Linked DNA regions of Diceros bicornis minor. Each later gene encodes a partner of the first gene's protein in a complex. Links are inferred from orthologs where the notes say so. Each region holds a gene or a part of one and is shown in the gene's direction. Other genes may lie near its edges.

Region 1 (6,900 bases):
CAGCTCTGAGCTAACATCTATTGCCAATCCTCCTCCTTTTTTTTTTTCCCCCAAAGCCCCAGTAGATAGTTGTATGTCATAGTTGTACATCCTTCTAGTTGCTGTATGTGGGACACGGCCTCAGCATGGCCGGACAAGCGGTGCTTGGTGTGCGCCCGGGATCCGAACCCAGGGCCACCGGTAGCGGAGTGTGCGCACTTAACTGCTAAGCCACGGGGCTGGCCCTTTGCCCACTTTTAAATTAGGTAATTTGTCTCATTATTATTATGTGTTCTTATTCTGGATACAAGTCCTTTGTTGGATATATGATTTGCAAATATTTTCTCCTAGTCTGTGCTTGTCTTTTTGTTTTCTTAATACCTAAATTAAAAGTTTTAAGGGGCCGGCCCGGTGGCGCAAGCGGTTAAGTGCGCGCGCTCCGCTGCGGCGGCCCGGGGTTCGCTGGTTCGGATCCCGGGTGCGCACCGACGCACTGCTTGGTAAGCCATGCTGTGGCGGCGTCCCATATAAAGTGGAGGAAGATAGGCACAGATGTTAGCCCAGGGCCGTCTTCCTCAGCAAAAAAAGAGGAGGATTGGCGGATGTTAGCTCAGGGCTGATCTCCTCACAAAAAAAAAAAAAAAAAAAGTTTTAAATTTCTATTAAGTCCAATTTATTGATTTTTTTTTTTATGGATCATGATTTTGGTGTCATAACTAAGCAATCTTTGCTTACCATAACATCAAAAGGTTTTTCTCCTGTTTTCTTCCAGAATTTATAAAGTTTTAGCTCTTTTATATTTAGGTCTATGATCCATTTGAATTAATTTTTATGTATGGTGCGAGGTAAGGATCAAAGTTCTTCTCTCCCACCATGCATGGATATTTAATTGTCCCAGCACTATTTGTTAAAAACATTACCCTTTCCCTATTGAATTGTTTTAGCATATTTGTTGAAAATCAATTGACCATAAATGTAAGGGTTTATTTCTGGTCTATCTATTCTGTTCCGTTGATCTATATGTCTATCCTTATGCCAATGCCACACTGTCTTCATTACTGTAGCTTTATAATATGTTTTGAAATCAGATAATAGAAGCCCACCACCTTTGCTTTTCTTTTTCAAAATTGTTTGGCTATTCTGGTTCCTTTGCATTTCCATATACATTTTAGGATCAAACTTGTCAATTTCTAAAAAGAAGAAAGCCTGCTGGAGTTTTGATAGAGACTACATTGAATGTATAGATAAATTTGGAGAGAACTATCATCTTAACAGTAAGTGTTCAATCCTTGAATATGGTATGTTTATTTATCTAGATCTTTGGTTTCTCTCAACAATGTTTTATAGTTTTCAGTGTATAGGTCTTACATTACTTTCATTAAATTTATTCAGATTTTTATGATGCTCTTGTGAATGGAATTGTTTTCCTAATTTCATTTTGAGATTGTTCACTGATAGCATATATAAATACACTGATATCTGTATGTAGATCTTATATCCTATGACTTTGCTAGACTTAATTTTTGTTAAATCCCCCATTTCTCATGTGTAAAATGGGGATATCTATCTGGCAAGATTTTTGTGTGGAATAACGTACGTAAACTCTCAACTGAAGGCTAGAAATGAAGCCCCCCTCCTGAAAAATTCAATTACGTAAAATCGGGGGTGGGGTGGGGGGGTGGGCACAGTATTTTGAGGAAAGTAAAATGCCAGGATTCACCTGGTGTAAATGGCAGGAACCATTCACCAATAGTATTATATCTGAATTTGCATAATCAAGGAGTTTTGCTACATTTTCATTTGTGTAGTGAATAGATGTTTGCTATTTTCTATCATCTGCATGTATTGTTTTTACAATCAGAAGAAAACAACAAATGTTATTCTTAAAAAGTAAAAATCAGGGTCCGGCCCCGTGGCTTAGTGGTTAGGTGAGCCTGCTCCACTGCTGGTGGCCCGGGTTCGGATCCTGGGCGCGCACCAACGCACTGCTTGTCCGGCCATGCTGAGGCGGCGTCCCACGTACAGCAACTAGAAGGATGTGCGACTATGACATACAACTATCTATTGGGGCTTTGGTGGGAAAAAGGGGGAAAAAAAGGAGGAGGATTGGCAATAGATGTTAGCTCAGGGCCGGTCTTCCTCAGCAAAAAGAGGAGGATTAGCATGGATGTTAGCTCAGGGCTGATCTTCCTCACAAAAAAAAAAAAAAAAAGTAAAAATCAGTAATCCATTTAATTTCATAAAGAGGAAAAGTAAAAGGACATAGAAATGCTTGCGTTCAATTTGCTGAGACCAATTAAATGTGCTTCCAGGAAAACTGCACAGTGCTAGGCACTGGGGTCACAAAAATAAGATATATAATTTATGAACTAATACACAGTTCAGCAGGCTTCTGAAGAACCTCGACGACTATTGAAGCAGGGTTGGGGAAGACATAGTTCCCTGAGGCTTCCTTCCCATCCTAACCTCTCAAACTTCCAACTACCACTATGGCAGCTTTACTTTGATCTATTTTATATGTTGGGGTTCCATATAAGATTAAATTTGAATAAAGCATTCTATGCCTTTATAAAGGTTTGAAAACCACTGGTCTAATACAAGAACTAAGTGAAAACGGAGAGGCAGCCTAGTATTATAATACTGAATGGGGGGTTCATAATCCAAGTTTTATTCTAGTCATTGTACATGTACAGCCATGTGGAAGGCACAATTCTAGTTCTCACCTCTCGAAAAGGATGGCATTTTTTTCTAGATGAATTTTAATGTCATTCATCCATAAATATTTGTTGAGTTTAACAAGCACAATAATGTTATTCATATATCCATTGTAAAGTAATAACAAAGGAAGAGAGTAAAGAGCATCTTGAGGGTTATCAGCAAAGTCTTCAGAGAGTGACAACTGGGTCTTAGAGCACCAGTCGAAGTCTCCCAATTGATTAAAAAGAAAAAAGGTAGGGGCATCACAGATGGAACTGCACATTTAAAAATATGGAATTAATAATAAATAGCTACCAGTGAATGGATGCTTACTCTATGCACAGAATTTTATCCTCACAACCACCCACGGAAGTAGAGGTTATTACACCCATGCACAGACAAGGATATGCCCAAATCAACAAAACTCTTGAGTAGCAGGGCCAGATTTGAAACTGGGGTTGTCTATTTCAAAGCCGAGGCTCTAGGTTCAAATGGGTACATATACTTAAGAGGTGTGAAGCCACACGGTGCTGCTGGAAGAGGAAAGTGGTGAGTTATAAGGCTGGAAATGTAGGCACCCACTCTCATTCACTTGACTAAAGACAATTTGGGCAAAGAAGAGTTGGGCTGGAATTGGAGGTATCGGTATAAATGCATGATTTCAAATATGTGTGTGTGGGTGTATCCATTAAGGCTCTGTCCACTGAAAAGGCCTAGAAAGCAAGAGCACACCAAGCCATGTTCAACCGTGGGATGGGCAAGCACCTCCAGGTTTGCTTCCCCACACGGCTGGCTTTTCCGCCACATTCCATTGCCATCTCGCCACAGACCCGGTGTCCTTCACCTGCCTGCGCCTTCTGCAGCAGGATGAGAGGCGCCCTCAATTCCAGACACGCCTGAGGGAGAAAGTCGCAACACCCTCCAGGTTGACTGCCATCAACGCCCGGCGAAGCCCGGGGAACAAAACGCTGAGAGGAAGAATCCCGGGTGGGCGGCGTCGGTGACTGTGGGGCTGGAGCCGGAATGGAGCTGTGGGCGGGGCCTTGGCGCTTCTCCGTTTCTTATAGGAGCTCACCGCTGCCAGTCTCGGCCTCCTCCCACCTGTCCCCACATCTTCCGCATAGGCCGTCAGTCAAATGGCGGGGGGGGGGGCGGAGGAGACTTCCGGTTGGGGGGAGAAAGTTGGGACGAGGGAGGGGCCGCGAGCGCGGAGGAAGAGGAAGAGGAAAGGGCCGGGCGGCGGCGGCGGCTGTAGGTTGTTCGGCGGTGGTGGCGGCTCTCTTCCGGGCGGACGATGGACAGCCAGGGCAGGAAGGTGGTGGTGTGCGACAACGGCACTGGGGTAAGCGCCCGGCGGGGAGCCGCGGCGGCCACAGGCCCGGCGGGGATGTGCGGGGGGCGCGCGGGCCCTCGGCGTCCGGGGCTGCACCCCTGGGCCCTCGGGCCGGCGGGATGAAGGGGCGCGGGCCAGCGCTGCCTGCCCCCACGGGCGTGGGGAGTTGGCGGGCCCGGTCCGGCTCAGGTCTCCCGGAGCCTCCCACCCCGGCCGCCTTCTGGGTCAGGGCGGCGGGCGAGGCCGGCGCTGGGTGGGCATGTCACCTGCTGCCCGGCAGGGTCGGCTCCGCGCTCCAGCGGGGACAATTTGGCTAAAGGGCCGGAGGGGTAAAAGGCTGGGTTTGTGTGTTCGAGAAGGGCTCTGTTCCCCACGGTCGCTGGTGTGTGAAACGGAGAAAGACCTAGAGGCCTTCTTCTTCCTGTATAGTTGAAGGTAGCGAACGAGAGGCAGGAAACGAGTTTAAAGAAAAAAAGGGAAGTGCTGTCATGCAATGAGCCTCAGCCCTTTCGCAGTGTTAGAGGGTTATGTTGTGTGTGGTTTTTTTTTTTTTGAGAGAAGGGGAGGCTAGATAGCAGCACATCATTTACTTTTTGTTCTGCGCGCTGGGAATTTGGCCCAGGGGCAGCCCCGCAGAGACCAGCATGTTCCATTGAATGATCTTGGGAGATCTAGGACCCCGCAAGGCCGAAGGGTTAATTCCACTGACCTTGGGGGAAGGTAATCAGTTTTGGTCTCCCCCCTTCCTTTTTTTCCTTAGGTGCACTAAGATTCTAAAATGCAAATAATTGTAAAAATCTGAGTAAAACACTTTTTTAGAAATTATTTGAAAGTTATCTCAAACGCCCACCCCCTTTAAAAAATGTATTTTGAGGGGCCGGCCCGGTGGCGCAAGCGGTTAAGTGCGCGCGCTCCGCTGCGGCGGCCCGGGGTTCGCTGGTTCGGATCACGGGCGCGCACCGACGCACTGCTTGGTGGGCCATGCTGTGGCGGCGTCCCATATAAAGTGGAGGAAGATGGGCACCGATGTTAGCCCAGGGCCGTCTTCCTCAGCAAAAAAAAAAAAAAAAAAAAAGGAGGAGGATTGGCGGATGTTAGCTCAGGGCTGATCTCCTCACAAAAAAAAAAAAAATGTATTTTGGGCAGCAAAGTCAGCAGATTAAAAGACGGAAATGTTATTTATTTTGGATGAGTTCTGTAGTGATCATTTCCCCTTCATTACAGTAATGTCGAACCGTTTTGGAGTTGCATATTGTGTGACTTTTCTCCCCTGCCTTCCATAAATGTGACATATGAATTAAAATAGATTTTACTTGAACTTTAAAACACTTCGGAAACTGGATTGTTGAGGGGGAAAAAAAAGCTAATATTCACTACCATAATACTTCCCTTGATTGAATTTATTAGAGATTTTTACAAGCAATAATTATACTAGCTTTCTGAACTAAGTTAAAAATGAACAAGAGTAAGAAGAGTGTTATAATGGGACATCCATACAAAATAGAATACTTAAAAAAGGCAGATTCACTGCTATGGAAACATGTCTTAACTTAAAAAAAATTTTAGAATGAGCCTATTTATGTGTGTTTTCTGTATTAAAAGATATTTATATGTATGCAAACTTGTATCTGTATATGAAAGTTTTGGAGGGATGCGTAAGGAATGTTCATATGGTTACCTGTGAGACTAGGAATAGGAAGTGAGGGAAGATAGGAAGGACTTCATGACTTCCGAATTATTGGAAAAATGTTCTTTGTTTTGTTTTTTAGCAAAACATGTATTAAGCTATCTTTAAACTAAAGAAACTATAAATGTGTATTACTTTTACAGTTAAAACTCAGTTAAAGGTGCTTTTTAAAGAATTTAAGTTCCAAATTGACTTCTAAATAAATTTAAAGCTTTAAAAATTGAATTTAAAATATTTTATTTTGCTAATATTTTGTTTTGTCAGGTATTCTCTTTAGAAATCTGAGCCAGCTATATTTTATTGGATTCTTCTTTTTTGAATGGTAATGAACCCTGTATTTGTAGTATAATGAGCTTTTCAATATTCACTTAGAATAGGACTGTTAACCATGAGCTCATTTTTATGTTACTATTTTATTATTTTAGCTGTGTTGAAAGCTGATTGTGTATTATTGGTTAGTCTCATGTCTAATCCATAATTTAAGAATCTTGTTCCTTAAGACAAGGGATCAGTTACTATGACATAAATAGAAAAAATGTAGTTAATTCAAACAAAAATGTATTTGGTGTTACATTTCTAGTTGTCTTTAAATTTTATCCAGATTTTCTATAGACACGATCGACTTCAAATGAAGAAAGAGCTCTGATATAATACGTAATCAGGATGCTGTGATATTTCTGAAAATTTAGAGGATTAGGAACCATTTAGAGTCTATATTCTATTTCTTACTGCTTATACTTCATAGTCATCCTGATTTTATTTAGTTACCTGAAGGTATAGTGATTCCTTTACAATGAAATATTAAAGAAGATATTCAAATTTAATTTCTAAAAACTTGTGGGATTAGTTGTTGCCCTAAAGCAACTTGTCTCTTACACATTTTAGGTCTTAAAATTACAGGCAGTTTGAGAAGTTGATGATTTTTTAAACTCCTCTGGCAGGCCCTAAGTCGAATGCTCTAAGAGTAGGTGAGATCTTATGATCACATGCCAGATGTTGATCCTGCTTCTCTTCTCACTAGCCCCCAACTAGAGCAGTGTCTCGTTAGAGCAGCCTACAGGAGGGAAAGTCATCCTATTCCAGTAATTTATGTGCTTCATCTTCGTAATTGTTCAAACCTACTCCGTAAAATAGCCACTGAAAGTGGCCAGATAGATGAAAATCTGAAGGTCTCCTTAGGTTTAGGTGCTTTTCAAGAGTTGAG
Region 2 (7,115 bases), on another chromosome or scaffold:
TAGCCCACATCTCAGCAGTTACATTCTTAGGAACATACCCTAAAAAAACCTTCACACCTGTACACAGGAAACTCCTAGGAACATACCCTAAAAAAACCTTCACACCTGTACATTTTGCTATTACAAAGTTTTGCTTGTAATGGCAAAAACATGGGAAAAGAACTTTAGTGTCCTTCAACAGGAGAATGGATAAATATATTAATAATCATAATGTATAATCATATATTGGAATGCTACATCACAGTTAAAATAGCTACATGTAACAACATGGGTAAATCTCAAAAACATATTGTTGATTAAAAGAAACAAGTTTCAAAAGGAGATAATAGAGTATGATACTATTAACAAAAAGCTTAAAATCATACAAAATATGCTATACATTGTTTATGGGTACATGCATATGTAGCAAAAGTGTAAAAACATGCGTGGGAAGGATAAACACCAAATGCAGGGTGATGGTTGCCTTTGCTGAGGAGGGGAAGGAAGGAGAGAAAGAATGGAATTGGGTGAGGTTCACAGGAAGTTTCAACTGCGTTTCTTTTTCAAAAAGCTCTGAAGAAAGTTTAATTATAAAATGTTAAGATTCAAGAAAGCTGGGTGGTGGGTACAAAGATCGTTGTTCTGTTAGTCATGAGTTTAAATAAACCAAAAGCAAGATGAAGAAAATGGGAAGATTGGGTAAAAATCTGCATAAAAAGCCTTTGGTGTTCTAGGTCCCCAAGCAGTCGAGTGATTATCCTCTTTCTCACCAGACCCATCCCGTTTCTACCCCTTCCTCCATCTCCACCACGGGAGAGTCATTTTCTATAGACTCCAGCCAGTGGAAGGCAGTGGGGAGGCAGAGGGCTGATAACGGGATTCAGTAGAAGTCAGCAGGCACTCAAAGCATTCTTGCCCGCCCCCACACACTCTGGGAACACTCACAGCCAAGCTTACAAGCTGCAAACACAACCAGAGGGTTTGTCCCTGGAGAAAAGACCTCCGAATATTGACATCTGTGGGCCCCCAATGAAGTCTGGCACATCATTGGTGCCTGTTATAGTGCAGCCCACTAATCCAGCCCTTCTCCGAACATAACGTGCATTTGAATCACCTGGTAAGCTTGTTGAACTGCAGGTTCTAAATCTGTGGTTTATAGTGGGGCCTGAGATTCTGCATTTCCAAAAAGCTCCCAAATGAAGCCAGTGCTGCTGGTCCCTTTCGAGTAGCAAGACGCTAGTCAACTCATCTCGCCCACACTCAGCCTCCACTCAGCTTGTTACAGTCTCATCTTTAAATACGAGCAGACTGCTAAAGTAGCCAGACGTTTAAGGATGGCCATTAACATAAAAGAGAGAGACCAAAACAAATTAGTATAAAAAAGGACTCAAAGAAACAGATCAAAGCAGAGAGCAGAAGAAAAACTAAAAACAAACACACTATACCATCCTCAGAGAGAAGATATATAAAACAAGGATAGAATAATATGGGGAGGATTCAGCTGGGGAGAAAAAGGTCTTCAAGAAACTGAAACTTCAAATGGTTGAAGATTGGTTGCACAACAGCATGAATATACTTGATGCTACTGAATTGTACACTACAAAATGGTTAAGATGACCGATTCTATGTTATGTATATTTTACCACAATTAAAAATAAAATAACCAAAAACCCCAAAGAAACAGAAAGTAGAAGGGAAAATTAAAGGATCGATCTAGAAATCTAACTTTTAAAGAATAGGCATTCCAGAAAGAGAAGAAAGAAAATGGAGAAGTTATCAAAAAAAAATCAAAGAAAATTTTCCACAAAACTGAAGTACATGAGTTTCCACTTTGAACGAGTGCTCAGTACAAAAAAGTTGAGTCACAGCAAAGCACATCATTATAAAATTTCCAACAAACAATCTAAAGAGAAAATAAAGAGAAAATCCTAACACTTCCAGAGATGGAGATGATGTAACATACAAAGGATCAGGAATATGAATAAGAGTTAGACTTTTTAAACAGCAACCCTGAAAGGTAGAAGAAAATGGAATAATATCTTCAAAATTATGAGGCAAAATTATTTTCAAACTTGAATTCAATAACCAGCCCAACTACAAATCAAGTGTTAGAATAGAATTCAGATATTTTAAAATATATAAAGCTTTCAACAACATATCTTCTATCTCCCTTCTTAGGAAGTTACTAGAGGAGGTGCTTTAGCAAAACAAGGAAGAAAATCAAGAAAGAGGAAGACATGGGATCCAGGAAATGGGCAAAAACAGCCTAGAACAGCAACAAAGGAAAATCCCAGAATGACAACCATACAGTAAGTCTAGAGCACAGTCAATCCAGATTGAAACAAGAGGAAGGAAGGCTCTGGAACAAAGACTCTAGAGAAAAAGTGGAACTTGTGTATTTGGGTATATGGAAAATATTGCTAGAGTCTTGGACAGTCTTAGAGCACCTGTGGGGTAGGAGGCAGCCAACTGTAGGAAAATATAGAAAATTGACAAGTGAGAGAAAAAAGGCAATAATTAACTCTAAGAAAAATGAACAGCTGTATAAGCTAGAAGGCATGGTTGTGGTGCACTTCTTGGCTCACTGGTAAACAATACTTGCATACATAATAATTTAAACGCTGATTATTGGTTTAACCAAAAACTGTTACATAACTATGTGGAGGCAAGAAACAGAAGGGATAGTCATGTTCTCTTTTTTTTTTTTTTCCTAGGTTCATAATTTATTGTATAAATGGAGTATCACATGATGAGTTGACATTAGCTTCTCAGGCATGGAAACTTAACAGACAAGGTACAGTTTAGAATCCATTTATGTCGCTTTCACAGCTGAAGATTTTTTAGACCTTAACCTGAAGTATAAGACCCTGAAAGCAATGCTTCCCTATGTGGCCAGTACACAATTCATTCTACCTGTGAGAGTATAAGAGTTGAAATATTTTTTGATACCAGTGAAATGGAATTGGGCATCAGTTTCTGGACCTGCCATGATTTCAACCTTGTAAAATGCACCAATTCCACAGCTGATAGAGTCATGTTCTTATCTATTACAGCAGGAAGTCAACAGATAATCCTTAAAATTAACAAATCAAGAATTAGTAGTATAAGCATTTATTTAGATATATGGATCTAATCCGGATGAATACGTAAAAGAGTTGAGGACATTGCCTCTAAGGCCAGGGACCTGCTTTTTTCACTACAAGCCTTTTAGTACATGTATTTTTAAACTACGTATCCGCGTTACTTTAGTTCAGTAAACAATAATGTTAAAATGTTAGCGTATAATTTCGGGGGATCTGCAATGTCTTGAAGCTTATCCATGGCCAGTATCACAAGACACACAGGCAGAAGGTGCGAATGTAGCACAAAAACGAGTTCAGATTCTGCACGCAGTTGAGGAAGAAGGTACGTCTCTGGCAGAGGTCCTGGAAGGGTTTCAAAAGCAGAGACATCACGTTCGGGGCATCTAGAGGCAGCTCCCCAGGCTCAGAAATGGAGGCACGACAGGAACCCCGCAGGCCCCTTCACCTAGGTGACTTCTCGCTCCTTCCCGTCACTGCCCTTTTAACAATTTGTAGTTACTACTTGCGAGTTTGTGGTCAGTTTCCTTTACCAGACTATAAGCTCCACGAGGGCAGGGCCTCGTCTATTTCATGCACCACTGTATCCTCAGCACAGAGCAGGAGCCCACTACATATTTTTTGGAGAAATGAGGGCGTGACGGTGCCGCCGGACAGCCACTAGTGTGGCAAGAGGCACGGGCACACCCACAACCAACAAGCTGAGAGCAAAGAAGCCGGCTGGGCGATGACAAGAGCGGGGGTCTCTGAAATGGCAAGGCCGGAAGGGTGAAGCTGGACCTCTGGGACGAGCGGGAGGGAGGCGCTGGACAGTGAGGCAGGCCCTGGGGAAGGACGCTCGCCGGACAGGCACACTTGCAAGCGCAGGACGTCAGGGGGTCTGTGGGAAAGTGGAGGCGAGGTGGCGGCACCGCGCATGCGCAAGCGCAGCCTCCGTGCCCCCTTGGCGCGCCTGCGTGCGCGTGCACGAGGGGTCGGAGCGGAAATGGCGCCGCGGGGCCGCGCGTCCGGGCGGCGAGCGGAAGTGGGTGTGAGAGCGGAAGTGGCCGGCTGGAGCCGGGGGCTGGGCGGGGACCGGGCTTGTCGGTGAGGCGGCAGCGGCGGCGGCGGCGGCTCGGCAGGCGGGTTCAGGCTTCGGGGGCCAGGTCGGTCGGGTGGGTGGGTGTCTCCACAGTCAGGGCGTGCGCGGGCCAGCGCGCGCGTCCTCCCCTTCCTCCCACCCCGGTCCCTGTCCCCTTCTCCCCTAACCTCTCACCCCACCCAGCCCCTCCTCAGGGGCCAGCGGGGCGCTCCCTCCGTCCTTCCCCCCTTCCCCACCCTCACCTGCCCTTGTTTCTCCTTCCCCTGCCCGGGGCAGCCGCCGCCATGATCCTGCTGGAGGTGAACAACCGCATCATCGAGGAGACGCTCGCGCTCAAGTTCGAGAACGCGGCCGCCGGGTGAGCGCGCGCCCGGGGCGGTGGGTGGCGGAGGAGGTAGAGCTGACCCCCGCTGCTGCCGCCCAGTGTCGTGCCGCCCCCACACTTGGCGGAGAGGGACAGGGGGCCCGGCCGCGTGCGGGCACTGCCCCGGCGGAGTAGACGTGGGAGGCGATGGGGCGCGGTGGGGTGAGGGGCAGAGATGCACGGGGCGAGGCTCGGAGCGGGGATGCGGAAGCGGGGAGTGGACAGGAGTGCGCGTGCTGAAGGAGGGCCGGAGACCTGTGGGACGCGAGGGCATCTGGGGCCGGCACCCTCGCTGGAGGAGCCCGCTGTCCTCTCTGTTCCCCGGCATTGTTCTGATCCCGAAGGGAGCCCGTTTGGGATTGGGGTGGAAGGAGTTTTCAGGAATGCCCAGGCCTGGAGGAGGGCGGAAGATGCAGGCCCAGGTCACCACCGGCCTCCTTGCTCCCCACCCCCACCTCCTCGTCTCCAGGAGCGGGAGGGAAGACTGAAAGCAGACCCGGTCTTGCAGCGAGAAAGACGCGATCTCTCCCCTTTCCCTTCCCTGAGCCCTCCCGTGAGAGGCACACTAGCCATTTTGTTACATATTTCTCACGCAGAGCTAGTGGTCTCCCCATCCACACCCCTTCCTTATCTCTGTTCTGAGGTTCTAATTCTCCTCTCCCCACCCATTGGCCTTTATCTGGTTATCTTTTAAATTCTTATACTGGACCCCTGCTCTGTGATTTCTTCCGTGGTAGTCCGGGCCCAGGTATACACTTAAAAACCTGCAAAGTCTATAAAGTTCTTAGATAACCATTTTTTACTGTTGGCCTAAGACATATTTCCAAGGCAGCCTTCTCTGTCAAACACAAGAATGAATAAAAGCCAACCTCCTCCTCTAGAGCTGCTTTGCGTTTCTAATATAATATTTAAAACGTGAGCCGAGGAATTGGTTTTAGCTTCTGATTTTTGGTGGCCTGCAGCCGGTTCCTTTGCCTCATTTCCCCCTCTGTGAGGATGGGGCTTCACATCTTGGTTGCACAGTTGGGGAAATAAGTGTGAACTGTTTCTGGTGAGCTGGAAACTAAGAACAGGAAAGGAAGTGCTTGGAGATCCACCAATGGGAGAGGATCGGTGGAGGGGAAATTCTAAGTGGTCATAATGAACTTGTGGCTTGGAGGCATTTAAAAAAAAAATACTTCTAACCCACTGCTTGAATTGAGCATATTGTATCTCCTGTCTCTTTTATGAGGCCACAGATTGTATCTAAAACAAAGCAGGACTTTCCTTGAAGCATTGCATGCAGTGAGCAGTAGCTACTGTTTCCTGCCAGGGGCTGCACTCGCTTATATTTTAGGCTAACTTGCTTCTCGTCCGTCTTCAGCCTCGCTTCCCAGTTCCTTTACATTTTAAATGTTCGAGCGAATCAGCTCAGAGTCTTATTTTGGGTGATTGCCGTGTACTTTTTTGAGCAGTGTAGCACACAGGAGGAAGTTAAATTAACTTCTGCATTTTCACAGCTGATGTTAAGTGCATTCTCAAGTCCAGACTAGCAAAGAATGAGACCCGAGTGGTTATAAGCTGATCTACGAGATAAATGCCTGTGCGTTTTCAAGGAGAAGCATGCCTGGTTTGAGGAGTATGTTCACATCTGTGTATTAATAACTTGTGATTCCAAAGTGTCGCCCCTTATTTAGAACTTCAGCTCTTTTCCTTTTAGAAGATTACTCTTAAAAAGAGCAACTAACCATTTCAGAGGAATTAAAGTAGGCACTCAAGTCTGGAAGGCATACATTAGAACTTCTAGGACATTTCTTACAAGCTCTGTGTTACAGCAATGTTGGCTGTGGGGGCAGGGCAGCAAGCTTTGGCTTTTATTCTGGCCCATCTTCCCTTTGAGATGTGACTTTAAATAAGTGGGCTCAGAACATATTCTGCTGAAAAGCACTTTGAAAATCTTTGAAAAGAGACCATGATAGCCAGCCTAGGAGGTAGGGCTTTCTTGGGATTGCAAATATAACACCCGCAGAAGCCTTCTTCCAAGCCCAGTGTGACTTTCCAGGCATCCATTAAGTAAGGTGAGGCAGCAGTGAAGTAGTTAAGTATTTATCAAGGCACATACCTACGCCAGAACTTCCAGCAAAGGATAACTAGTATGATAATCATCAACATTTATGGGATTCTGCCAGTGCTCAGCACCAGGCAGGAACAGAAAAAGAGGGGCTTCCTGAGCGAGCCTATTGGCAAAGTTAGAGGGGAGATAAGGGATGAGATGTGTTGGGGTAGAGATCAGAAAAAGACATTCAAGTAAGAGTAGCTTGGAGGAGAAACCCTGGAGATCTGAAAGGCTCTGCCTGTGTGGGGACCTGCTGGGAGGAGTCAGCTCCACCCAGCCCTACATTTCTCAGAGCAAAGCAATTGGGGAAGTTATGGATCCGAGCAGCCTTTTGCAGAGTGAGTCTTCCAACTCTGCAAAGTCCAGTATGATAGCCAGTGGCTACATGTGGCTAGTTAAGTTGAAATAAGAATTAATTAAAGTGAAGTAAAATTAGGTTCCTCAGTCACACTAGCCACAGTTCTAGTGCCCAGTTGCCACATGTGCTAGTAGCTGCCGTATTTGGAGAGTGCCGAT
Region 3 (7,264 bases), on another chromosome or scaffold:
ACCGGGGCTGGGCCACCACAGACTGAGACACTTGGACTCAATCCTGTGGGTAATGGGAGCCAAGGGAGGCCTGGGAGCAGGGCCATGTCATGAGCACATCTGATCATGACAGCTGACGAATGGGACAGTACCCCCCCCCCCAACACTCTTCTATGTTTTCTACATTTTCTTTAATGGAATCTGTTTTATTTTCATCATAAAAAAAGTAAACTTTTATTTATTTATTTATTTTTTGAGGAAGATCAGCCCTGAGCTAACACCCATGCCCATCTTCCTCTACTTTATATGGGACACTGCCACAGCATAGCTTGACAAGCGGTGCATCAGTGCGTGCCCGGGATCCGAAGCTGGGAACCCCAGGCCACCGAAGTGGAGCGCACGCACTTAACCGCTGCACCACTGGGCCGGCCCCCAAACTTTTAATATTTAAAGATTCTCTGGAGGCTGGCAAAGTGTTAAGAGGCCGTGTGGGTAAACAGCCAATGAAGGCTTAAAGCAAAGCAGAGGAGATGGAGATGAGGGGACAAGGGAGGACCTCACTGAAGTAGATGCCTTAGGACAGGTGGCCATTTGGATGGGGTAAAGGGGAGAAAGCTGAAAGTTAGAGCCTTGGTGGCTGGGTGGGGTAATGGGGCAGACAGGAGACTGGGCAGGGTAGGGGAAGGAAGATGATATATGGCTTTGGGGTCTTTGATTCTGAGGCAACTCTGGGCCTCTTGTTCTCCATCCTGTCTATTGAGGCCCAGGGTCTCTACCTTGTAATGTTCAGCCTCGTCTTCTGGGGGTTTTAGTAGCTCCTCTAGCGTGCGCACCTCCTCGCTGGTGATATCTGCACAGTAGGGCTCCACCGAAGCCCAGAACCTGCAGAGAGAAGCAGATCCTGAGTGAGCGCCCCTCTGCCACACCAGCCTCAGCCCCAGGCCCCTCCAGGGCCTCCAATGCCCAAATCTTGAGGCCCCTCTGTGGTCTCTGGCCCAGAACCTGTTAGGGGCATCATTCTTGGGGATCCGTGGCACGTCGATTGGGTCATCAGTGAATTCATATTCCTGGATCTTGGGCTGAAGGTTTTTGGATTTGGGCCGTCCGGGGCCAGGGCCTGGCCCATGTCCTGCCTTCCCTTCCAGTTTCTGCTTCTTGGGCTTCCCATGTTTGGGGGGAGCTCCAAGTTCATGGTCTCGACCCAGCTTCAAGAATCGTCGGTCACCTTTCTTATCCTGCCAATCAGTGAGGATCTGAAATTCACAGAGACTGTCACTGAGGGAGAGAAGGGAAGACACAGGACAACTCCTTCTTCCAGTGAAAACTCAGGATCTACAACTCCAAGAGGCCCCATAGCCTTCCCCTATCCCCTTTTTATTTAGCAAATTCCCACTCATCCTTTAAAACTCAGCTCCTTTTCTGTGTGCATCTCACAGGACTTTATTCATATACTTCTCATCATTCCATTCATTGTTTGTCTATACTGATTCAGCTCTGTAGCACCCAAGCCAGTCACATAGTGTTTAGCAGAAAAGTCAAATGAATGATCACACCCCAGTGCATGTTAGCCCTGGGAAAATATGCTGGTCATAACTTTTTGGTGAAGGCAAATAAGCCTCCCAGCAAACCTTCACTTCAAATGTCACAACTGAGAAGTCTTCTCTGCATCAGTTACCCAGCTTCCTAGATGCTAAAATACAACTGACTGTGCCACAGACCTGCTCAAAAAGCTTCAGTGGATTCCCAAGGACCACAAGTTAATTTTATTCATCTTCTGAGGCCCAGTTGAAATGGCATCTTCTTCCTCTATGAGTCTGTGGTACTTCATACCTCTATTGTAGGCCCAATCGTGTTGTTTGGTCTCACTGGAATGAACAGAGAACCTTGTCTCTTCAACTAGATTATAAGCTACTAGAGACCAAGAAGTTCATCTGAACCATCTCTGTTCCCCAGGGTCTGGCAGAGCACCTGACACACAGAGCTCAGAAGATGTTTATGCTATGAACAGAAATAATCATAGTAATACCAATAAATAACATTTGAAATGCTTACTTAGTGTCAGACATTGGGCTCAGCTTTGCAAAAAAACCCTCTCTTTTAATCCTCACAAAAAGCTCTGAGGTAGGTCCTATTATTCAGCCCACTTTGCAGATAGAGAACTGATACTCAGCGCCAGGAGGTAACTTTCTCAAAGTCACAAAGCTAGGAAACAGCAACACTAGCAGGTGCTCAGGACAGGATTCAAATCCAGGTCTCTCCGTTCCAGGTCCCCCAGGACTCGTAAACGTAACAGCACATCACCTGGTACTTGTCTGACTCCCCTTCCCTTTAGTTGGCAAACTCCCTGAAGGCCAGAATTGTCCTAATTACCTCTCTCTAGACTAGCACAAGACCCAGAACATAATGGGGGGTGGGGGTCAATAAATGCCTACTGAATTAGAAATCCTGTAATTTACGAGGATCACGCATATTCTTGCATATTTTACATGTTACACAAGCCTATTTTCGGTCTCTCTCTCCTCTGCTAAGCTTCTGTAACCCAGGCTTCAGCAGATGGGGTTAACTCAAGGACCCAACCCATAACTTGTCACAGTTCATCCCTGGTGACGCCCCCTCTGGGGGTATCACCTGGGTTTCGGCCTCGAGCACCCGCAGGCGCCGACTGGCAGAGGAAAGCAGGGTCTCAAGCTCCAGCTGCAGAGTATCCAGCTCCTCGATGCCGATGCCATCATCCTCAGAGCGGGCCAGCACTGCCGTGTAGCGGGGACACACCTTCAGGTGGTCCACAGACTTGAAGTCATGGAACTGCAAGGGGCAGTCCTTCAGCTCACTCATGGCCCAGGATATGGGACCCTGTGGAGCTGGAGAGGAAAAGACCATTGATGGGAGATAAAGTGGCACGAGAAAAGCCCAAGGGCTCCTTCTATCCAGGGACAGCCTCAAGGAGAAAGCCAGGCTTCAGTACCCTATTGCCGAGGTTGATGGCACAGCTACTCACAGAGCATCTACTGTGTGCCAAGCTAGGTGCAGACATTTTACCAGCTTCTCATTAAATTCCTCATCCAACCCCATAAGCAGGGACCATGGTGATCTCCATTTTACAGACAAGGCAACGGAGACTCTGTAAGGGTGGGTACATGCCCAACCTTACCAAGATGCAATTTGAATCCAAGTAGTTTTGAGTCCATGCCCCTAACCACCACCATATACTATGCCCTGTCTTTCTGATGTTCTTCTCTTCTGTTCCACTCCTGGGTTGTGCTAAGTCCCTGAGTTGGAAGCATCTCATTCTTATAACGATAATGTTCTCTGTGCCTCTCAGCCTCTCCTTGTCTCACCCCTCCCCACCTTTGCCCCTGACAGCGGTTAAGAATGTGGGCTGGTAAGCCAGACATATCCGGATTGCAGCCCAGGCTTTACTATTCGTTATTTATGTAGTCCTGACCATGTTATTTAACCTTCCTGAGTCTCGGTTTTCCCATTTGTAAAATGAGGACAAAAGAAGCCTGAAGTCTGTTTCCCCATAAGTCTGAATCTGTAAAATGGGGATAACAATAGTACCTACCTCCCCGGGATGTTCTGAGGATTAAGAGATGATGCCCGTCAAGAGCCCAGTTCAGTGCCTGGTACAGAAAAAGTGGGACTGCTTACTGGCTGGCACCACCCCGTGGGTGGCCCCAATGTCTCGCCTTCAATGTCCTCGTCCTCTAGGGACCCCCTAACGCGGCCCCCTCCCCCTCTACCTCCTCACTGCAGCCTACTACGGTCCCCCAGGCCGCGGGAGGCGGCGGGGAGTTCCGGTCTGTCGGAGCAACCGCCCCGGAACTGGCTGTGTGCCGGCCCCTCGCAGTTGACGCGGGGGCGGGGAGACTCGAAGGCGAGCTCACTGTGGCTTGCGGGGGTGGGGGTTGGCGGGCCGGGAACGAGCGCAATGTAGGGGGGTGGGGCGGTATGCCTCGATCGTACCCTAGGGAACAGCCCGGGGCAGGGGGCGGGGCTCGGCAGTCGGGTTCTCCACCCGGTAGTTAGTCCCGCCGAACCCCGGGAGCTGCAGGTAGGCGGGGCTCGCAGGAAGGACGGGGGCACAGAACCGGAAGAAACGAAGGGCTCCTCCACTTCGCCTTGTCCTATTATGGTACTCAACCTGAGGCTGGCTGCACCATTACATGACTATGGGGGAAGAAAGCGGCAAAGACGACGAGAAGGCCAAAGTCACAAGCGAGAGCTGCATGGATAACGGGAGGAGCTTGAGTAGCAAGGTGAAACTTCAGGAGTCTAAAACTACCAAGACAGTCCTGGCGGGAAAACTTCCGAGGGACCAAGTGTTCCTAGGCTCTTTTTCCCCCGCTCGGAGCACAGATGGTACCGTCCGGAAGTCCGGGAGGAGACTGCGGCTGCGCTTCTCGCGAAACGGCAGGCGTCGCGGGGCTGGCCACTTCCGCACTTCCGCTTTCCGGCCCAGCCAGCGCCCGCGATGGTGAGAGAGCCGGACCCCGGGCCAGGGACCCTCGCTGTTCTTCCTCAGGAGTCTGGGTCTGGGGGAGATGCAGCTTTGCAGCGGAGAGGCCCGGGGCCGAGGGATGCTTGGGGATGTGGGGCCACGATGAGGCTGGGAGAAAGAGGGTGGGGCGGGGGCCGAAGTGAGGAAGGGGCGAGCGGGGGACGCCCTCGTAAGCACCAGGCTTTGCGGCTTCGTGGTCTGGCTTTCGAAGCGAGTCGGGAGTACTCCTGAGGCATGGAGGAAACCGGAAGCGGAGCTCCTTAGGCTTGTGGTAGCGCCTCGAAGGCGTGTAGTAGGTCTCGTAGCCCGTAGTAGGGCTGCTGAGGCACGTAGTAGAGCCGCCTCTCCACCCAGAGTAGAACTGCACTAGATACACTGCCCTGTCGTCTCCTGCCCACTTGACCCCGCAGTTTCCCAAGGGAAGCGTCCGCATTTAATTATCCTACTCTTCTTGTTGCCCCCAGCCTTGCTTGTACCTTGCTGAAAGATTTCTTTTATGCCGCCTCCACCCCGTCCCCTTCCTGGTCAGAACTCAATCGTGTCAGCCTTACTGTAGCATGTAAGCTCTGATACTGCTGATCCCTCCCTTCCTGGAAATCCTGCTGTTTGATAAATGTCAGTGTTCCTGGGAGTTGAGACTTTGGCTCAACACCTTCGTCTTCTTTACAGTCTCCCTATTGATAGCTAACTAGTTTTCCGACTTTAATGACCTTGTGTATTCTGGTGACTCCTGAGTCTGCTTTCCTAGGTCTCTTTCAAGGTTTGCCTGGATATCTTGAAGACAGCCTGAAATGAGACCTCCAGGTCAAAAGTCACCTTTTCTCCTAATCGCTCTTCCTGCTATGTCCCTTATTCTGGCTTTGTGTCCTCTTAACCCAGCTAGAAACCTGGGATATTCTTTTTTTCCAATTGAGGCCATGCCTCTTGATTTTTTAAAGATCAAGTTTGTTGAGGTATTACATGAGACTGTGTCTGTTTTATTTGTGAAAGGGCGGGGGTCACTGGGCTGCCCACCTAAAATTCACCCTTTTCAGGTTTACCTTCTGTGAATTTTGACAAATACAGTCATGTAACCACTGTTACCATCAAGATCAAGAATATTTCCATCACCTCAAAAAGTTTCAAATCCCTTTGTAATCAGTCCTCCCTGCCCCTCAAGCAACCACTGATTTTTTTCCCCCTATAGTTTTGTTTTTTCCAGATTGTCATATAAATGGAATTCTTCAGTATGTAGACTTTTTAGTGTGGCTTCTTACCATAGTGCATTTGCAATCCATGCATGTTGTGTGTATCAGTAGTTATTCCTTTTTATCACTGAGTAGTATTTCATTGTATGGATGGACCATAGTTTGTTGGGAGTTGTTTTTGGATTCCATTATGCTGGACAACCCCTGTGATCCCCTCTGTTTGTCCTTTCCACTGCCCCTGTCCAGGCTCTCATCAGCGCTCCTTAAATAGCCCTCTCTGCCTTATGTCTCACTTCCCTCTCCAGTCCATTCTCCACAGAGTCACCATGTAGCTCTAGTCGTGTAACTTCCTCTTCAAAAAGCCCCAGCAGTTCCTTACCATCTTAAAAGAAAAGCTACACTCAGTAGCCTGGCATTTGAGATTCCCCATGAATCTTCAGGCTGCCATTGCAGCCTTATCTGTTGAATCTAAAATGCTTCCCATATACAGCAACAGTGTACTCATTACTGCTTCTGGAACTCTTAATGCCCTTTTATGTAATTCTAACCTTAAGTTCTTTCGTTCATTCGTTCATTCTGCAGAAACTGGGTAAGACATTATATGTTAGGTAGTGACTGAGCTAGGTGCAGCATATGTAGATTTGAATAAAATAGACATGGTCTGTTGACCATGAGGCTTACAGTCTAGGAGTGAAGGAGAAATCACTTTACTAAAGATGTATGAAGGGTGTGTCATTATAAATTATAATAAATGCTATGAAGAGGGAAGTTAAGAAAGGCCTCTTTGGGGAAGGAAGAGGCCTTTCCTGAATAAGCCAAGATCTGAAGGATGACTTAGGCAAAGAGAGGGGAGAAAAGCCTGCAGATTGATGGTTCAGCATGCTTAAAGCCCTCAGGTGAGAAAGAACTTGGCTGATTAAAGGAACTGAAGATAGGCCAGTGTAGCTAGAAGCTGATCTCTCTACTGGGAATGGCCTTATTCTGCTGCTTCTCATTGTAAAATTCACCTAATCCTATTTCTATCTTCAAATCAAAACCAATTTCTTCTGCAGATATAACTTGTAAATCTAATTATTTCACATGTCATCCTTCTTTATATCATAGTTATTTTCTCTGTCTCCTCCTACTTGAGCTGTTTAAGGGTAGAGATGGTCTTAATCATCTTTGAATTTCCGGCACCTAGCTCAGTGCCTGGCATACAGTGGACTTAGCCATTTGTTGGCTCAAAAGACTGATGGAGGATAGTCATTCACCTGTATGCCTCTAGACCAGAGTTTCTCAACTTCAGCACTATTTGGAGCTGAATAATTCTTTGTTGTGTGTTGAGGGATGTTTAGTGGTATGCCTGGACTCTACTCCATGCCAGTAGCACCTCTCCCCCTAAGTCATGACAGTGAAAAATGTCTCGATGTTGCCAAATGTCCGCTGGCAGACAAAATCGTCCCCTTGAGAATCACTGCTCTAGACTTTGAATGAAAGACACTTTGAAGGCCTAGTCTGTTCTGTTCACTGTGTTGTCTGAGAGCTGGGCACCCTCCATACTGCCTGGCTCCTATGTGAGCTGGAGTAGGGGGCCAGTGGCTTTGGTGAGACAGAT
Region 4 (7,595 bases), on another chromosome or scaffold:
GCCCGTGGCCGTGTCTTGACCTCACTGGCCCAGGAGAAGGAGAGTAGTGATTGGATCACAACTCTAGTTTTAGGACACTGGTAACAGTGCTTCTCAAAGGATGTCATGATATCCTCAAGAGTAATTTTGCCCTTTTGGTGACACATGGGAAGCCTTACTTCCCTCCAGGAGTGAATCCCAGCACCTGGGGTGCCAGCGTGGCAGGCCTGCCTCTCCCCTGTTGCTATAGCATCCTCGCTGCGCCCCACTGGCAGGAGCTGCTTTGTGCATATATGTCTGCACCAGTGCATCAGCAAGGCTGTGGTCACAGAGGACAGACGAAAGCCAGCCCCAAACCAGGAATTAGCTAAAGGTAAAGGTTTCTTTTTAGTTTCAATAAATCACATGGTTTGGCCAGCAAGCCCAGAGGTTTTTAGAGAAACAATGTATTCCATGAAAGAAACAACAGCAACAAAAAACAAAATTTACTAACTTTCCCTCCAAGGACTTAATAGTCACAGTTGTCTTTTTTCTTGTTTTAACTTGGGCCATTTCTCACTCATGGAAGAGTGCCCATCCCGGTCATGGCACCCAGGAACCCTCAGTGCTGTGCTGCAGTGCTGGGGCCTGTGAGATTGCCGAAGCTCCCTCCTCCTCTCGCCCTACCTTTGAGACTCAGGTAAGGCCTGGGTGCACAGTGACTGCCAATTTGGAGGGGTTCTCAGTGACCCTGACTATGCCACGACACACTGGTCAAAGCCCTTTGATTCGATGCTTTGGTGTCAGATTATAGTTCTGCCAAGTTGTGTGACCTTGAGTGATATAGTTAACATCTCTGTGCCTCAGTCTCCTCACCTGTAAAATGGGCATGATACAGGATTAGTAATTCCTCTTAGATACTCATGAAAGCCGAGGTTTGCTTTCAGGCTTGACACTGGCCGTATAGTAGTCCCCGGAGACCCTTAATAACAGTGGGCTCAGGTGGGAAGAAGTGTATGAAGTATGTTGGTAACCAAAAAAACTTCAGTAGTTCTTTCCAGAATATTATGCTAGAAAACGGGTCAGCCTCAGAACCCAGATTAATTGCTTAGGCAGGACTTTTCAGTTTGGCCCAACAATCACCACACAAGTGGTCTAGTTCCCATGTGTGCCCAACCCTGGAGGTGGTGATGTGAAGGCCCAGGGTGGCCCAGGTAGTCCCCATGTGGACTGGTCAGTACAGATCAGTACGGACATTATAAGGTTATGTTATTTAAGTTATGTGTGTGTGTATAATTCAAATACTAGATGTGGTAGATAGAGTAATGCCCCCCAAAGATGTCCATGTCGTAATCCCCAGAACCTGTGAACTTTGCAGATGTGATTAAGTCAAAGATCTTGAGATGGGGAGTACTCTAGGTTGTCCAGGTGAGCCCAGTATTGTCACAAGGATCCTTGTAAGAGGGAGGTAGGAGAGTGAGGGATGTGACATAACAGGTTGGAGTGTCACAAGGCCCCGGAGCCAAGGAATGCAGGTGTGCTAAAAGCTGGAAAAGGCAAGCAAACAAGTTTCCCCGGAGCTTCCAGAAGGAACACCACCCTGCCCGCTGAGACTGACTGTGGGCTTCTGACCTCCAGAACCGTAAGAGAATAAGCCACCCTGTTTGTAGTAAGTTGCTACCGCAGTGATAGGAAACTAACACACTAGGTCAGTTCAGAAAGGAGGGGAAGTATAGTCTAGAGCAGAGTTTTTCAAATTGAGGGTCAGACCCCGTTAATGGTTGTAAAAGTCAATTTGAAAATGACACAGAAGAGAAAAGAACAGATTTTGCATTGCCTGTAGTAAGTGTTGTTTCAAGATGCTTATGTTTCAGATATATGTGGGGATGTGTACTAGGTCGCAGTAGACATATCACTGTGAGTTGTGATCAAAAGTTTGAAAGCCACTAACGTAAAGTCAGTCACCTGAGGGGGCTCATGAGGAGGGGTGCTTTAGCCCTGCCTTGGATACGTTACCGTGAGAACAGCTAACCGCCAGGCACCCTGGTGAGCAATTGATAGGCCTCAGCTACTCACAACAACTCTATAGTGTTGGAACTTTGCCACATTTTAAAGATGACAAAACTCAAGTCCAGAGAGGGAAGTGACAGCCTCCGTTGGAACCGTGGCAGTCTCTCCAGAGCCCCAGCGCTAACCGCTAAGTCTCCTCCCTACTGGGGGAGGGCAGGGAGTGGAGGTGCGTAGTGACCAAGCCCAGTTCAGTTTGCCCAAGCTTGGGAGCAGAGAGATGTCATTGGAACTGATGGGAGGGGACCCCTCTGACAGTACCCTATGGGGTTTCGTTGTAGACCTGAATTTCTCAGTGAACTGACACATAAAGCCATGTGGCTTGGAACGGGGTGTGCCTCAGAACACTGCCCCCATCAGAAGACTGCCTCCTGGAGCAGGACACAAGTTCCTGGCCTCAGCTATGGTGGACCCCTTCCCGGGCTTTGGCCACCTTACAAATATGTGTGGCCCAGGGAAGGAGGCCCAAGGGTTTCCCCTCTTCCCTCCTGCTCACAGGGATCAGGTGGCAATCCCTTGATCCCAGGGAGAGAGACCCATGGTCCCCGTTCTTGGTGGGAACATGCTGAGACAGAAGAAGATGAAGCTTTCCTCCCTGGTCTCCTGCTGCCTTGGCCAGTGCACCACTTCCTAGGCCAGATGCCTGGAGTTTGGCTGCCATCTTGTGACCAGGAGGCAGTAAGGCAGTGCAGTGAGGAGGAAGGAGCAGAAAGCTGGAAAGAACCTCGTGACCTGGAGACGCGACCAGCCCCCTGACTACTACTGACTGCCCTCCTCCAGGTCAGCCAGCCCTGCAGAGTCTGCCTGGGTGTGTGGCTGCATTTCTTGGAAACCTGAGAAGGCGGAAAGAAGGGGGAGTGTAGCATCTTCATCCCAGGGCACCAGGGGAGGCAGATTCCAGGAAGCAACAAAGCTCTCCAAGTTGTTCTCAGCACTCCAAAAGAAATTCTTCCACCCCCAAGCTCCCCTCACCCAAGGAGTTGTTTCACTTAAGGTTTAAAAACTTTGTCCCCCAAGGGAGCCATTTCAAAGAACATCCCCCATGGCTTCCCGGTCTAAGGTGTGCTTTCCATCCATTGGGTCTTCCCATAATGACCGCAGGCCTGTGAGGGGGGGCGGGCAGCGCTTGTTATGAGTCAGCCTCGCTTTACAGCTGCGGAAACTGAGGCACGCAGGACGAAGGACTTGCCTGAAGTTATACTGCGGGGTTAAGTGGCAGAGCCAGGGTTGGGTACATGTTCTACCACCACCATTCATTCATTCACTCACTCATTCATTCAACAGATGCACACTGAGGGCTTGCTATATGCCACACGCGCTGCTCTAGGCTCAGGGGAAAGCAGAGCAAACAGTAAAAGAGTTTGCTCGCCCTAAGCTTCTGCATCGTCTTTTCATCAATCAACTTGCTTCACTTCAGTTTTCACCGAGAAAAGCGAGTCCCCAGGTGAGCACATTGGTCAGGATGCTTTACTGAGACTAACAGAAAAACTCAACTCGAACCAGCTTCAAAAGTAAAGTAGGTTCCTTAGCACACGTATCCGAAACCTCTGGAGGCAGATTGTGCTCAGGCTGACTGGTCAGAGGTTGACCTGGGCTCTGGTCATTTCTCTGGGATTCTCTCCATCTGCGCTCTAACCTTGTCGTCTGGCTTCCTTTGTGGCTGTTACACTTCCCTGTTCAGATTCACGCACCTCACCCAGAGGGGCTTCTTTCCCCTCCATCATCATCAGAAGTCCTGGCCTCCTAGGGAGAGGGGCCTGATGAATTGAGAGGGTGCAGGGTTTTCACCAGGGTCTCCTCCATCTGCCAGGCCACTTGGCCACATCTCCATTGATGAGGCAGAGGGTAGGGATGGAAAGACACCCGCGGCCACCTGGCCCAAGACCCAAATTCAAGTGGCTGCAAGCAGCCAGGTAACTTAAAGGAGTGAAGGTGACCGCGGTGGAGTAGAGGGCCGAGAAGGCAGCACTGAGAGAACGTGCTGGGCCAGCCAGAATCAGCGGGGCGGCCAGCGTGCATGCCTGGCCGGGCCAGCATCCTGGTTTTGTAGTGAGGATCCAGGGCGGGGCGGGCGGGGCGGGCTGCCTTGGCCACGCCTTACTGCCTGCACCGGGTTTGCACTTTTAGCGCCTGGCGGGTATCAGTTTGCGAACGAAGAGATGGTTCCCGCGCGGCCGGGGTCCGAGGCCTGCAGAGGTTCGCTAAGTTGCTCAGTCGCCAGCGTATGAGCGCAGAGTCCGCCGTCCCCGCGGTCCGGCTCAGACGACACCGCCCTCCCGTCCGGCGCTGTCCACTCTCGGTGGGGGGTGGGGGGTGGACACGCGCCCTGCCAGGCTCCCGGTCCCCGCCCAGCTGCTGCTCAGGCTGTGCACCCCTCTCTGAGCCTCAGTTTCCCCGTCCATAAAGTAGTGCGGAGTGGTCGTGGACGATTTCTGCGCGCCTTGGGTCTGTGCAGCCCGCAAACCCGGAGGGGTGGGCGGGGCCTTGGGTCTCCCGACCGCTGCCCCTGGTCCCCGCCCCGGTCCCCGGGGGCCTGGCTGGGAGGCCCCGCCCCCCGCCCACGAGGAAGTGGCTGCGGCGCCGCGCGGGGCCCAGAGCCGGTTCGGCGCGTCGACTGCCCAGAGTCCGCGGCCGGGGCGCCCCGAGGTGAGGGGGCGCGGGGGGATGCGGGGATGTGAAGGGGCGCGGGAGGGGGCGCCTGGAGCTGGGGGGACGGAGGGGGAGGCGGGGGTGAGGGGGTGCCTGGCGGTGAGAGGGTCGCATGCAGGTGGCGAGTGCGCGGGGGCTGCCAGGAGATATGGGGGTGGGGGCACGGGGCGTCGCCTGGAGGTGCGGGGACCAGTGGGCGCAGGTGGCGGCCGCGCCGAGGGTGGGCGGTGGCCTCCGGGCGAGGGACGCGCAGGGGTCCCGGCGCCCTCGAGGCGGCCCCCACCCCCGGCCCCTCTCCCTGTCCCCTCTCCGGCCCTCACATCCCGACTCTGCCCCGCGGCCGGTGTCCCCCGTTATTTCGGGCCGCGAAAGCCCCACACCCAGTCACTTCCCCACCCTCCAGCCTTCCGGGTTCTCCAGCCGGGAAATGAGCTGGCGCCCCCGCCCTCCCTCCGCGGCCACCGCCTCCCCCCTCCCCTCCCCCCGCCCGCCTCCCGCCCCGGGCCGGGTCCGAGGGGTCCGTGCAGGGAGGGGGCGGCCGGGGGCCCCGGGACGGGCGCTTCTGAGCTCCCGGGCGCTGGCCCCGAGCGGCCCCTCCCTCGCCTGCGGCGCAGGAGAGCAGCCGGCCTGTCCAGGGCTGGGGCGGGGACAGTCGTACACCCACCACCGGCGGGAGCCCCGGGAGCGAGCCTGGTGCGGTGCGGGACGCCGGGCTGGAGGCTGTCCCCGGGCTCCTCCCGCCTGGCGGGCGGTGCTCCCTCGTGGTTAAGAACACCCATCGCCCTTCAGGTCTCAGGGCCCTAGGTAAGAGCGCCAGCTTCTTCCTCCACCAGCTGATGACCTTAGCAAGCCACCTAACCTCTCTGGGCCTCAACTTTCCTTATCTGGAAAATGGGGACCTTTCAAGTTGTGAGGCTTAAATGTGGTAATGTAAGACACTTGGCAGTGTGCCAGGCACACACTGTGAGTGTGTGCTATTAGTGTTGTCGCTGTCATTGTAAGGCCTGCCCTCATTTAACAAAGTGCCCAGGTGAACCTAAACTCCCGTATTTCGGGTCAGAATCCAAGCTGTGCCATTTAGGAGCTGTGTGACTTTGAGCAAATCTTGGCTTTTGTCTGAGTCTCACTTTCCGTCTGTACAAATGAAGGTTGAAAAAAACACAAAGCAAAAAACTTCCTAGGTTTGCTTTAGCAGGGAAAAGAGAGAATGTCCAAGTCCTGGGTAAATCCTAGGCATTTAAAATGCCAGTAGGGTTAGTTCATTACATATGGATTTGTATATAATCCACATAGGTCTTTTCTAATAGTTAAATAGTATCCCAGCATGTTAATGTCACTAGTTACTTTTTCCATATTTGTTGTCATCTGGATTTTTCCACCCTGTCACCACTATAAACAGTTATTATGAACATGTTTGTTTTTTAAAAAAAAAAAAGTGGCTCTTAGCACCGAAATGAATTTATGCAACCAAAGAGTGTTAACAGTTTTTAAGTTCCTGTTCGTGTTATTCTGTTCTGCTTGTTCCTACCCAGTTGTTGAATTGAGAGTTATCACATTGCTCTTCAGAAAGGCTGCACAAATTAGCAACAAATGAGAATTTCTCCACAGCCCTGCCAGCATTGAGTTTTATGTTTTTGGGTGTTGTTTTGTTTGGATTACTTTCACTGGTGCTTTATGGTGCCTTGGGATTGTTTTCATTTATGTCTCTTGACTTGACTTTGCCTGTTTTGTAAGCCTTTAAGAGCAGAGTTGGGGAGGAGGATTGGCTGGTCTGTTTGGGGTGGCAAGGGCTGCTCTGCACACAACAGGAAGTTGAGTAACTGCTTAGCACGCGTGCAGACTGGCTTGCTGGCTCAGCCTCTGAGCTGGGTGGGGACTTCCCTGAGTGTCTGTAGAGCCAGAGATCCTTGCTCCAGGCTGCTCCTGCCTGGTTTAGCCTCAAATTCAGCCAAGCCTCTGCGTTCAGAGAACACTGGCAGAGCTTCTTTCAAAGCAAGAACAAACCTACAGCCAGTGCCCTGTCCAACTCCAGCCTTTTCTGGATGGAGATGTGAGGGAAGTGGTGGCCAAGGGCGCCCGGCCAGTATGGAGAGAGCCAGAACTTGAACCCGGCACTGTAAGAAGGAGCACTGAGGTCTGAGGCCCTTGGCGGGGCAGCCCAAGGCCTCGCCTGGCTTGCTTTGCTGAGGAGGGGAGCTGTATTCTCCTCGAATCCTCAGAGAGGACCCTCTAGATTGCAGGTTTTCTAATCATTGACCCTATCAGGGAAAAAAATTGGTGCACATACTCCCCGGGAGATATTTACAAATTGCATACATGCGTCACTGAAGCAATCCTGCGTATTCCTAAGACAGACCCAGCAAAAAGGATGTGATTCATTCGTTCAGCATCATTCCAGAACTATTACTTGATTGCCTACTGTGTGCCAGGCCCTCTGATTGGTGCTGGGGATGCTTCAGTGAACAAAACAAACACCCTTGCCCCCATGGAGCTGACATCCACATCCCAGTGCATGGTCTATGGCACTCCCAGATGGAAACCCAAACCCCCTCCCAGCCATCATGCTGCCCTTCTCTGTCCCCTTGCACCCCAGCCCCAAGCGGTCCTGGTCCATTCATTCCAAGCACCCACTGTGTGCCTGACGCCAGGGAAGTGCTCCTGGGAGCACAGAGAGATCCTGGCTCCAGGCTGGTGGGGGGTGGCTTGGAGCCAGCAGGGGAGTCTGTCGGGATTTGGCCCCTCCCCTCCCCCAGTCTCACTCTGTTTCCGGGTTATGGGGGCACAGAGCATGATCCTAACATGATCCCCAGGGCCCCCTCCTCTCTGTCCTCAGCAGTCAAATGGGCCCATGGTGCTGGCTCACAGGACCGTGGTGACAAGTGGGTGGGTGTCCCGGAGGCCTTGTCCTGCCCCTCTCTCCA

Evidence for each region.
Region 2: ACTR2 (region 1) and ARPC2 share a complex: the UniProt entries of both Homo sapiens proteins name them as parts of the arp2/3 complex. The link is inferred for Diceros bicornis minor from reciprocal best matches to the Homo sapiens genes ACTR2 and ARPC2.
Region 3: the proteins of ACTR2 (region 1) and ARPC4 are in contact, whole or in part, in a cryo-EM structure (PDB 6YW6), measured with the Homo sapiens proteins. The link is inferred for Diceros bicornis minor from reciprocal best matches to the Homo sapiens genes ACTR2 and ARPC4. Residues at the interface, in NP_005713.1 of Homo sapiens: Tyr222, Val223, Tyr225, Gln229, Glu230, Lys232, Leu233, Ala234, Leu235, Glu236, Thr237, Thr238, Val239, Lys253, Thr308, Met309, Tyr310, Pro311, Gly312, Pro314, Ser315, Asp346; in NP_005709.1 of Homo sapiens: Val29, Val30, Glu31, Arg32, His33, Lys35, Pro36, Glu39, Val40, Ala98, Glu99, Asn100, Phe102, Ile103, Leu104, Arg105, Arg106, Lys107, Leu117, Thr119.
Region 4: ACTR2 (region 1) and ARPC1B share a complex: the UniProt entries of both Homo sapiens proteins name them as parts of the arp2/3 complex. The link is inferred for Diceros bicornis minor from reciprocal best matches to the Homo sapiens genes ACTR2 and ARPC1B.

What each region holds. Positions count from the first base shown.
Region 1 is NC_080751.1:22,559,998-22,566,897, reverse strand, and holds the start of ACTR2 (actin-related protein 2), read left to right. Parts: upstream 1-3,894; 5' UTR 3,895-3,970; coding exon 3,971-4,018; intron 4,019-6,900. UniProt on the Homo sapiens protein: ATP-binding component of the Arp2/3 complex, a multiprotein complex that mediates actin polymerization upon stimulation by nucleation-promoting factor (NPF).
Region 2 is NC_080776.1:8,672,831-8,679,945, forward strand, and holds the start of ARPC2 (actin-related protein 2/3 complex subunit 2), read left to right. Parts: upstream 1-4,109; 5' UTR 4,110-4,204; intron 4,205-4,416; 5' UTR 4,417-4,424; coding exon 4,425-4,498; intron 4,499-7,115. UniProt on the Homo sapiens protein: Actin-binding component of the Arp2/3 complex, a multiprotein complex that mediates actin polymerization upon stimulation by nucleation-promoting factor (NPF).
Region 3 is NC_080741.1:82,754,630-82,761,893, forward strand, and holds the start of ARPC4 (actin-related protein 2/3 complex subunit 4), read left to right. Parts: upstream 1-4,258; 5' UTR 4,259-4,453; coding exon 4,454-4,456; intron 4,457-7,264. Other genes in the region: TADA3 (transcriptional adapter 3), read right to left, coding at 756-861, 982-1,232, 2,608-2,814. UniProt on the Homo sapiens protein: Actin-binding component of the Arp2/3 complex, a multiprotein complex that mediates actin polymerization upon stimulation by nucleation-promoting factor (NPF).
Region 4 is NC_080765.1:7,312,774-7,320,368, reverse strand, and holds the start of ARPC1B (actin-related protein 2/3 complex subunit 1B), read left to right. Parts: upstream 1-4,576; 5' UTR 4,577-4,671; intron 4,672-7,595. UniProt on the Homo sapiens protein: Component of the Arp2/3 complex, a multiprotein complex that mediates actin polymerization upon stimulation by nucleation-promoting factor (NPF).